Mus musculus: one gene and its partners. The protein of the gene in region 1 purifies or fractionates together with the protein of each later gene. This does not show direct contact. Links are inferred from orthologs where the notes say so. Each region holds a gene or a part of one and is shown in the gene's direction. Other genes may lie near its edges.

What was found.
Region 2: the proteins of Cdk16 (region 1) and Ccny purify together in Homo sapiens (affinity purification with mass spectrometry; 3 studies listed by BioGRID and IntAct, counting the BioPlex papers as one, with this or other methods). This does not show direct contact. The link is inferred for Mus musculus from reciprocal best matches to the Homo sapiens genes CDK16 and CCNY.
Region 3: the proteins of Cdk16 (region 1) and Ccnyl1 purify together in Homo sapiens (affinity purification with mass spectrometry; 4 studies listed by BioGRID and IntAct, counting the BioPlex papers as one, with this or other methods). This does not show direct contact. The link is inferred for Mus musculus from reciprocal best matches to the Homo sapiens genes CDK16 and CCNYL1.

The regions. Positions count from the first base shown.
Region 1 is NC_000086.7:20,687,485-20,691,234, forward strand, and holds the start of Cdk16 (cyclin-dependent kinase 16), read left to right. Parts: upstream 1-941; 5' UTR 942-1,322; intron 1,323-3,750. UniProt on the Homo sapiens protein: Protein kinase that plays a role in vesicle-mediated transport processes and exocytosis. Regulates GH1 release by brain neurons. Phosphorylates NSF, and thereby regulates NSF oligomerization. Required for normal spermatogenesis.
Region 2 is NC_000084.6:9,314,066-9,317,715, reverse strand, and holds part of Ccny (cyclin-Y), read left to right. Parts: intron 1-1,043; coding exon 1,044-1,160; 3' UTR 1,161-3,650. UniProt on the Homo sapiens protein: Positive regulatory subunit of the cyclin-dependent kinases CDK14/PFTK1 and CDK16.
Region 3 is NC_000067.6:64,711,837-64,715,486, forward strand, and holds part of Ccnyl1 (cyclin-Y-like protein 1), read left to right. Parts: intron 1-1,274; coding exon 1,275-1,326; intron 1,327-2,732; coding exon 2,733-2,852; intron 2,853-3,650. UniProt on the Homo sapiens protein: Key regulator of Wnt signaling implicated in various biological processes including male fertility, embryonic neurogenesis and cortex development. Activates the cyclin-dependent kinase CDK16, and promotes sperm maturation.

The DNA.
Region 1 (3,750 bases):
GGTGTAAAGAAAGCCTAATTAGAGGAGCTTGTACGCGAATATTAGAGTGAGGCAGCAAGAAGCTCCGCCCAAGCCAAAGTTCCAAACCTGCGCCTTAGTGGAGTCTGCCCCCTCTAAAAAGGCCTTTCCTTCTCAGCCTAGGTTTCACCACACCAAGAAGCTGCAGGAGAATGTGGGAATGGTTAAAGGAGGGAACCGGCTGACTGAGTGGCCTTTGGACCAATTATCTTACGGGATATTCAGCGATCTCCTGAGAAGCGCTCAGAACAAAAAGGCGAGCCCGAAAACCAATAAAAAACCGTACAGAGGAGGAGGCAAGCTGAAGAGAAAGCTAGATCATGCTTCTTCAGCTTTGCCACGCCCTTCATTCTTGCTCAGCCCTGACGCAGGGAGCAAATTTGATTGGCTGAGCGTCAGCTTTTTCAAAAGGGTGGGGCCACATACGTTTCACAGTGGGTAACAAACTAGTGGTAGAGGGTGGGTGGCAGGGCGGGGCTAGATTGTCCTAGCTAAGGTGGTAATCCAGGCCACCTCTCCTAGAAAGTCATTTCCAGCCTTTAAATTCTTGCCTCCCGAGGCACCACAAAGGACTGGAACTGCTTCGCTCACCTGTTCTTTTTCTCCTTGCAAAAGTCCCGTTTACCACCATGGGGATGTACCAAATGAGACTGTAGGGAAAGAAGGTGGTGACTGGCACGCCTGGCTACTGGCTGCTGCTCACCTCGATGCTAGTAAATTTCTAGCAAGATCAAAACTATTAACCCCTCTCTAAATCCCCCTGGCGCCGTTCCAGGGCCAACGCCACATTCCCTGCTGGGCACGCAATGGCCGCACCCCCTCCCGCTGCAGAAGGCTCTTTTGGTACACGCAGTCCGAGGTGAGTCTCCTCCTTCCTGCTTCACACCCCACCCCCAGCGTGTGCGTGCGCATGCGCGGAGCGCGGCGCGCGCGGCTGTTGGGCCGCTGGCTGGGGGGCTCTGGGATATGCTGCGTCTCCGCTAGCTGTCTGCTGTGAGTCACGAGCCGCCGTGAACACCCGGATTCCAGCGGGCGCTTGCGAGCACGGGGGCATCGCCCGCAGTGGCCAAGCTCATGGCCGGCTGAGCGGGACGCCGCCGCCGCCTCAGCCGCCGCCGCCGCCGCCGCCTCTTCCTCCTCAGCCGGCGGCGGCCCGGGCCCAGCAGCCATGGCCGAAGACTACTGGGACGGGCGCCTGCGGCGAACTGGAGGAAAAGGAGGTCGCGCGGCCTCATCCCGGGCCGCCGCCCCAGGCGCCACCGCGCCGGCCCCGCGGCTCTGAGGTTACTCGCGCGCCCCCTCCGGTGAGCGTGTCCTCGATACTTAGGGTGGGGGCTGCTCTTCCTAGAGAGCCAGCCGGACCCTAGGCAGTGCTGGAACAAGACCAAGGGGTTCTGGGCAGCTTGTCTGTCAGGTGCCCCCTCCCCCTCGAGTTTCCCAGAATGCACTGGGGGGTCATTTGGGGCCTCCCTGACCTTGGCCCCGCCCTGGGCCCCTGTCCTGGGAGCTGAGGATGGGAAGTGCTGTGGATGCTAAGTGGGAGAAGGGTGATTAAAGGACTAGCGTTATGGGAATGGATTGATACAGTGAGATTCTCGGAGTTGCTAAAGGGCTAGGAACATGTAATAAAAAGCCTTACGACTTCAGGCCCAGTGTGCTTATGGAAAGGGGTTGCAGGACCATGAGGGACGTGATGGGGTATAACAGGGTTTGAAGTAAAGACAGTTCCAAAACATTCTAGTGGAAGTTGGAGCTACAGAGAGGCCCAGTGTAAATGGAGAAAGGGTGGTAGAGGTACTACCAGAAGGTGTGCTGATAGACGCATAGTTCCGAGTGTGTGGTGATGAGGGTCAGGATAGTGTTAATACTGTGTTTATCCACGGAGTTGAGGGTGGCAGCTTCTCTGGGTCCAGGGTGTGCTCATAGAGGAGGTAATGGAGGGTCCTGGAGATGAGGGTATGTAGATGTAATAAAGGTAGGGTGAGATCAGTATATGCCAGTGAAGGCAGAGCTTTTGAAGGACCTGAGAGTGTGTGTAATGGGAGAGGATGGGGAAAGGCCTGTACTACTGGGTTTTAGGTGTGTGCGTACATGTGTACGGGAGATTGTCAGTAAAGGAAGTATAAAGAGCTTTGCACACTAAGGGTCAAGATGAGGTGTGAGTGGATGTCCATAAAGGCTTCCAGAAAGCGTGGGGGCAATACTATATATGAAGTTCTAGAGCACTGGTTCTCAACTTAGAGGTCGAATGTCAAATATCCTGCATATCAGACATTTACATGATAATTCATCACAGCAAAAGTACAGTTATGAAGTAGCAACAAAAAGAACTTTATGGTTGGGGGACACCACAACATGAGGAACTGTAGTAAAGGGTCACAGCATTGGGAAGGTTGAGAACCACTGTTGTAAAGGCTGCTGCTGTGGGGTTAGATAGATACAGACACTTAAATGTATGCACGCTATTAGGGGAAGAGCACAAAGTAAAATATGCTGATGTACATCAAAACGCCTTTTTTCTCTCCATGGGCCACTGAAGTGTGCTGATTTGAGGAGTGCTTCAGAAGTAGAGTTTTTTTGGGGGTGAGGGGTGGAGAATCTAGTGGATAATGAAAGGAACAGAGCTATGAAGGAAATCAATTGTGAACCAGAGAAATGGTGGTAGGAGTGGTTGGTTGAAGCAGGGAATAGGAGTAGGTACTGGTGTGCCAAAGTGAATTGGAGTCATGAACTGAGATGTATGTTATTAGGGGTCAGGGTCAAATGGAGGAGCTGCATTCACTAATGAGAGTCAGTCTGATACAGAATAGTGCATTTCTCCCTGGAGAATAGGGCTAAGGAAGGGTTCAAGGTGTGCTGATAGAGTTAGGACTGTCAGGGTCAAGATACAATGAAGATTAATCTTGTGCTGAGGGAAGGAACTGTGCACTGGAAGTACAAGAATGTATGTTAACAGCTGGGCGTGGTGGCACACGCCTTTAATCCCAGCACTCGGGAGGCAGAGGCAGGCGGATTTCTGAGTTTGAGGCCAGCCTGGTCTACAGAGTGAGTTCCAGGACAGCCAGGGCTACACAGAGAAACCCTGTCTCGAAAAACAAAACAAAACATACAAACAAACAAAAAAAGAATGTATATTAACAGTGGTCATAACTCTGAAGGTAAGGGCTAGAGAGATGGTTCAGCTGTTAAGAGCATGTGCTGCTCTTCCAGAGGACCTGGGTTTAGATCCCTGCATGCACATCAAGAGACCCATAACTGTGAAGGGACCTAAGTGTGAACCAAACTGGTCAGGGATTGTATAAGAATCACAATGTACTGAGGATTCAGAGACGTGTGAAAGTCCAGAGAATGCTAATTTGGGTCAGCAGTAGAGCACCCTGAATGCATGTTAAGGAGGATCAGAATCCATAGGGGACACTATTATTGGGAAGGACAGTGCTAGAGAGAGGCTAACAAGCATCTAGGCTAGGAAGGGACTCAACGTGAAGGTGGTAGGAGTTACTTAAAAGGGGCAAATATATGCCAATACAGTTGAGGGCAAGGTTTTGAGTGCTGAAGGGAGTTAGACGTTGTGAATGTTAGTAGGAGTTAATAAATATTGAGGGCCTTCTTGGGGATCTAGTGTGTGCTTTTAGAGGTCAGGACAGAATGGAGCATGTGTAAGTATGGTGGTAATGCAACTGTGTGCTCAGCAGTTGGAGTTATCGTCCGTCCGTGTCCTTGGTATGAGAG
Region 2 (3,650 bases), on another chromosome or scaffold:
TGACTGGACTCACTATGTACACCTCAAATACACAGAAATCTGGCTTCAAACTCACAGAAATCTTCCTGCACCTACTTCCTAAGTGCTTCGTTTTAAGCTGTGTTCCACAACACCCCCGGCAGTCAGTTAATTTTAAGATGGAATCTCAGTAGAGCAAGGAGACAAGGAGACAGGCTGGGTGCTAAGCACTGGGACTAAAGAACTCCAGGGAGGTGCCACTACCCCCTTTTGTGCAGATCTGCACCACATGCAAAGTACCTTACGGATTTAGCTTTTAAACAATTACTCTGAACCAGGCTCAAGGTGTTTGGCTCTATCTACATGTCAGAGAAAGCTGTTGTTACCACATATAATCTGGTTAAGAGGGAACACTACTATCTGTTACTACTATGAATTCAGACACACACTATTCTTGAGAAATAGCAATTGGTAATCTCAGAAATTTTAAATAAAAGACCCAAGAACTCTGCACACAGTGCTTGGGGTGACACAGCTCAGCCTGGTAATTTGTCTGTTCTCCCAGCTGACCACTTGGCTTCAACATGGATGCCTGTCTGGTTTCTCTTCCCCAGTCCGTCTTCTCAGCTGATGCTGGAATTATTTTCCTAAAATGCAGCCTTTGATTTTGTCATGTTCTCTTAAGATTAGTGGCAAGTTTTCACTGGCTACAAACTAGAAAGTGTTTCCATCCTGGCCTGTGTGTGCTCTCCATCCCTGAAACCCCATCTGGTCTCACTAACACCCACCGTGTGGGTCCACCCTGGCTCCTAGGTCACTCTGGACACCTTATTTGTTGCCATCCTTACTATGGTTGTCTCTCATTGTGGTTTGCCTCACAGTAGCCTTAGCTGTTTCTTCTCTTTTGCTTTCAAGATCAGGAGGACACAGATACACACCATCTCCACCCCATTTCAAAACAGGGTTGGAAGTTGTGCTAGGCAGGAAGACCAGTTGAGCCAGCAGATGTGACAGCCTTGCAGAGCCCCTGGCTGAGGTGGGACCTTGGTGTGTACCCTGACCTGCACTGTCTTTCTCCCTCTCAGGCCATCTCTCGTCTCTGTGAGGACAAGTACAAGGACCTGAGGAAACCCATGAGGAAGCGTTCAGCAAGTGCTGACAACCTGATTCTGCCAAGGTGGTCTCCAGCCATCATCTCCTAACTGGGGCACTCTCCTGAGGCTGTGCTGTCCCTCAGTTTCTCCTTTTGTTTAAAGAAAAGATGAACTTGGGTGGTTTTGTTTGGTTTGGTTTTCTTTTTTCCTTCTGTTTTTAACAATAGCCTCATCGAGGCTGCCTTCAGCCCGCCTCCACACTTGGTGGGTGCACGCAGAGCGGCTTTAAGGGACGTGAAATCAGTATTCAGGAAACTTGGTGTCAAGCCTTCCCGGCCATCATGAAAAGCACTTCTTTCATGGAGGAAACAGACTCTAATCCTGGAGAAGGAAATGAAGGAAAAGGAAGTTGTGTTAAGGGATAGATTACTTGGTAGCTTTGCTGTTTCTGGGTCCTTGTCTGGTCATAGATACCAGATGGAGCCAGATGATAGGTAGCAGAGTTGAATGCATCTCCAAATCGGGAATGCCATGCTATGCCCTTGGAATCTGTGTGCTCTGTAAGAAAGACTTCCTGCATTCCTTCATGCTGCTCTCGGGATTGGGGATGGGGATGTTTGTTCATTTTTATTCTGGTTGGGTTTTGATTCCTCAGAGCAGAGAGTATAGTTTGTAACCACCATGGCACAGACATCCAAATAAATAGTACTGATTGTTTATCTCTGCTCCATTTTCTCTAGCCTTCTTCTGAGCTTTCTTCCTCACAAGTAAGATGTGCTTGTTGTGTTTCTACACACCTGTTATATATGATTCTCTTTCAACAATAGCAGGATTAACTTGACTGTAGTACTGAACCAAAACTATCCCTCTCCTGCCTAGTTCCAAGAACATTCTATCTAGATTAATATGGGTGCTTGTGCCTTCCAGTTTTCTTGCAATTGGTTGTTCTTGGTTTTGGTTTTGTCACCTCCTCTCCATCCCAGGTTCTCTTTTTCTGCTAACATGAAGGTGTAATTACAAAACGCACTCAGACTTTGTGGCTGAAGGCAAAGGTCCTCAGCACAAGCATCTTGGATAGAGAAGCATCCGGGGAGCCAGGTTTCCCTGACCTCATGAGGAGCCATGTCCATGTGCTCCCTGCCTGGTCATTCTTCTACTTCCATGTCCATTGTTGTAAGCAATATTCTCCTTGAATTTTATATGCTTCCTTTAAATCAAATTTAGTCTATTTGTATACAATTTTTTTAAAAATCTAAAATTTAGAAAATGGGGAGTGGGTGGGTGGGTATCCAGTGGGAAGATCACTAAAAGGAAAAATGTTACTATTTCCTGAGGTATTTTTCACAGAATGATTGAATAAAAAAAAAAATTCAACTTGCATTCTCATTGTGGGTGCTTGGAGAAGCTACACAAACTGTGAAGGTTCATACTTCCTTACTTATAACCAGCTTTTGTGTTTTCTGACTGGTTTTGGCTTGTTTGGGGAATAGATTAAACTCTTCTATTGAGTGCAGTAAAAGGGTTAGAGGTAGCTATCAAAGAGAGAGTCTGACATGAAGTCTAAGAGTCTGAGTCACACACAAGTGCTTTGCTTCTGCCCATCTTAGGTTGCGGTGACCGAGGTTTGTGAGGTTTTCCTTGTTTGAGATAAATTCTAGCATTTGCTTTATCATATACTCCTCCTGTGTGAGCGTGGAAAAGTTTAGAATTGTATGCTAGTTTTGAATGCCCTAAAATCATATGCCTGACCCCTCTCAATAGAGCACACTTTGAAGATGGAAGGAACAAAATATCAAAATCCCAAAAGTATGAAGCCACAAATGTTAGTAAAGAGTCAGTGCAGTTCTTGTGCAGTTTTGGATGCAATATGAGCAAATTCTAGCCTAAACTTGCAAAGCAGGAAGTAAAAAATTAACTACCCTCCTGTTGCCTCTTTGATGATTTGCTCTGAGTGGGAAAGGGGATCGGCTTCTCTCCTTACAAACCTTAAACAGAGGTCGAAACATGTAGAAAGTGTCATTTTGTATTCCCTCATCTCTATAACTCTAGAAGGGACCTATTTTCTTAGCCAAATATGAATGCCTCTTAGATGAATCCTTCCTCTCATGTAAAGTACCTTATCTTACCAGCCCATTTCAGGAAAGAACTGCTGGCTTGATAGCAGAAATCTTATTTTTATTCCTTTTATTTGAATGGGAGATTTGGAAATTGACTTATGTAAATAGTTCAATGCACCTGATACTATTTTGTGGAGTTTATTAAACTACTTTAAAAGATTGTACAGTGTATTCGTTGTATGTGTGTACACACAGTCTGGTACCTGACATTCAACAGTGACTCTTTATAGCCTGGCTTGGTTTTATTCAGACTGTTGACTATTGTTTTCAAGCCTTGTACACTGGACTCTACCTCTGAATAGGAAGGTTTTCTCTTTGCATCAGTGAGTGTTAACTGTATTAATTGGTTGTATTTCTTGCACTAAGGATTTCAGTTGTACTGTTTAGTCTGAATTACTAGGCATGTAAGTATAGGCTCATTTAATTTTTCTATACAATAATGAAAACTTATTTTTGTTTTCTGGGTTGTTCTCAGGTTGCC
Region 3 (3,650 bases), on another chromosome or scaffold:
TTGCATATCTATAAATTTTAATGTAGGTCTTGGTAGAAAGACAAATAGATTTCCTTGTTTCTCTGTCTTTCTTTCAGTTTGTTTTAAAGAACCAAGAAACCAGTTCTCACACATATACATTTGACGGAAAGTTATTTTTAAAGCGTTCAGATTTTTTGATGCTCTACAGCACTACACTAAGGGTGTCTCATTGTAATAGAGTTTTGTATCTCTCCGTGAACTCTTAAACACTGTACTCATTGTATAAATGTGCAAATGTTTAATAAGTGTATCTTTTACTAGTGCATAGTTGGATGATGTATCCTGGTCATATGGAGAATAATGAGTCACCCTTATTATAATGTTAGCAGAAAGTGTGAGCACGGAGAAGCTGTAAGACACATAGCAGAAGGCACAAGGTCCCAAGCTTGGCTTTTACAGAGCTTGACAGCTTGAATTTTATCATGACAAATTATGTTTTCCTCAAAGTGACAAGTTACTACATTCAATTTTGAGAGTATTTGTAGTTACACATGAAAGTGATATTCTGTAATAAGGGGCTGGTTGAGTTCACAAGTAAATCACATTCAGAATATTAAAAAAGAAAGGTCAGGATTTAGTGACATTAGTTATCCTGTTTCATCAAAGACGTAAGCAGGCTCAGGAAACAAGTGCAGTGCAGTTGTGGGGGGGGGGGGGCGGCTGGCACAGCCGGGACCATGCCAGGATCAGCTCGTTCACACTCGCTCACAGTCGGCAGGCATAAGAAGCAGGCAATGCTTCATGTATATGATGAACGGTTTTGGAGGCCGTGTGCCTCCGGCTCAGGGACTCTCCTGAGTCCACGACCTCAGAGAAGCAGTGCTTAAATGAGTGCACTTTATTTGTTTGATGAACTTTTACACACACACCATTGTGTGTTTTAAAAAAGGGGGGCAGCGACGTTTTAATTAATACTCTTTATAAGAAGCAAGTGTATATCTTAAACATATAACAATCAGAGAATTAAAGAAAGGCAGAAACTTGTGAAATTTAAATGTTGTTCACATTGATCAAAGTTCTAAGTTCTTCATGTCCACTGCTGCCTTTATGAGGAGGAAGGATAACGTGCTTATCGGCACTGCTAAGCGTGTCAGTGCTTCGCAAGCACTCATAGCAAAGGTGCCGCAGCGCTGGCTAAACCCAGGAAGAACCGCTTGCCTTGTTAAAGGTTGGCCTCCCCCGTCGGCCTCACCCTACATCTAGCAGTTGTTAACTAAGACACTACTAACGTCCTGTATTGTTACATTTTACAGAGATGCAAATAGATCCCTGGACATTTTTGATGAGCGGTCACATCCTCTCACAGTAAGTATCTGTTTGCTTTTCTTAAAATTATATTTTTCTTTCCTAGAATTGTGTTTTGTTTCTGTCTGCGTGTTATGTAGCTGATTACTGTGAGAAAATTAGTCCCTCTAGCTTGAGTTAGGAGTGTGCCGTGGCTATGATAAAGTAACAATTGCCTTGATGCTTTGCTTAAGTAGTGAGCCAAGGGAAATAAGTGTATTGTCTTAAATAATAGAAAATTCAGCTTTTCAAAAGATAATCTTTAAGTAACATCAAGCAATATAAATATCTGTAAACAAATTCAACAAATATGTTTTAAAAAAAGGGAAATAAGGAAACTTTAAATTAGTTAAAATGGGTCTATCTGTAATTTCAGTACCTTGAAGGCTGACTAGTGATTTGAAAGACAGTCTACCTATTAAGAGCAACCTAGTATTAAGAGCAACCTAGTAATAAGAGCAACCTAGTAATAAGAGCAACCTAGTAAGGCCCTAACTTGAAAACAACCAGTCAGTCGAACCTGTAAAAATTTAAGAAGTCACTTCACCAGACATATGCTGGCCAGTCTTGATACTTGACACACATACTGTTGGCTGTTATATGGACAATGTTAAGAAGAGCCTATGGTTATAGGAAACTAAAAATATTTTGGGTTTTTTTTTCCCCCAAAGTATATTGCAAACAGCTGTCACCCCTGTGACACTTTTAAGATCAGTATGATTTCAGGATTAAAAAAAAAAAAAAAAAAAAACCTGGGTAGGAGAATGGAAGGGTATATCTGACATTCCTGTGCTTGTGGTCGTGTGTCCTTTTATAAAGGATGGGTGGGTATGAATAGTTGTAGTATAGCCATAGATTGCTTAACAGTGGGTACATCCTCAAATATGTATTAGGTGATTTTGTTCTGCAAAAATTGTAGAGTACTTCATCTAAGATGGCTGTAGTATTACACACTGATGGTTTACGGAACTGGTATTATGTATTTAGTTCATCATTGCCTGAAAAGGTCATTCTTGCCAATTGCCATAAGATGCCACACTCTTTATATTGAAAGCACAATGAAAGTCACTGGGCATGGTGACACACACTCTTAACCTCTGCACTCAGGAGGAAGTCTCAAGACAAGCATACAAACAAGATGGCTCAGCAGGTGAAGCACTTGCTGCCAAGCCTGAGGGTCTGTGCTTGACCCCCAGTATTGTAAAGGGAAAGGACCAACTCTCAAAGTTGCCCTTTGACCTCGTGTGTGCACTGTGGCTGTGCATGCCCATACACATAGTTATACAAATGTACACAATCATTCTACCCAATTGAAATTATCTTAAGGAACAGGTGAGCACAATGTGGAGACAGACTCAAGTATTTTTAAGAATACTTAAAAGATTTCCTTCAGTCAATATTTATTTATTCATTTATTTTTCTTTCAGAGAGAGAAAGTTCCAGAGGAGTACTTTAAGCATGACCCTGAACACAAATTTATTTACAGATTTGTTCGTACACTTTTTAGTGCTGCACAGCTGACAGCGGAATGTGCAATAGTGACGTTGGTAAGCTTCCTGCCAAGCTTCATTAAAAAGCTTGTACCCAGATATGTTTAATCCCTGAAATGATCATAAAACCTTTAATAAGAACCTTCTGAAGGAATGACTGTTAATTTAACAGCCTTTATGGTTTAAAAATGTTACATTGCCTTTATTACAAAAAAAAAAAATTGCTATTAAAGGCAGTAAGAGAGTTCTCCCATCATGCCTCAGTACACATATATGGGCATGTTGATGGGGCAGGAGGGGAAAGCAGTAACAAGCGCAGGTGGTTCACCAGTCTGATTTGCTGAAGTTTAAGGTTCATGCCAGGCTGTGTTCCTCAGGGCCTTCTGTTGTATGCTATGCTGGATCACTGTCTAGTTCTCTGACCCTTGGATGATGGGTGTTAATCTACCTCTGCTGATGACTTATTTCTGCCTATGAAGTTGCCCAGGATTATAGTACAGTAGTTCTTAGAGTGGCTTTGTGAACTTGCTAAGCTACAGGTATATGCTTGCCTTTATGTTATCCATTGAGAAGGCCTGTAGTAAGACTATTGTTTCACATAGTGCATGTTATTGTAGCATTTAGGATTTCACTGCCCCTACAACAGATGCACGGAGATAAGTCAGATGCTTGGCCCTGAGGAAAGGTGACTACCTCCTCCTTTACCATCAGTTAGACTCAGAAGAAGCCATGTGCTGTGTTCATGAGCAGAATCGCCCTGTGGGCACCAGTGCTGTGAAATTGGGTTGGAAAGAGAGGTGGCAAGGTCCTTGTTAGTGAGGGAAGCTGCATTCCTGGAAGAACAGAATGGCCCTG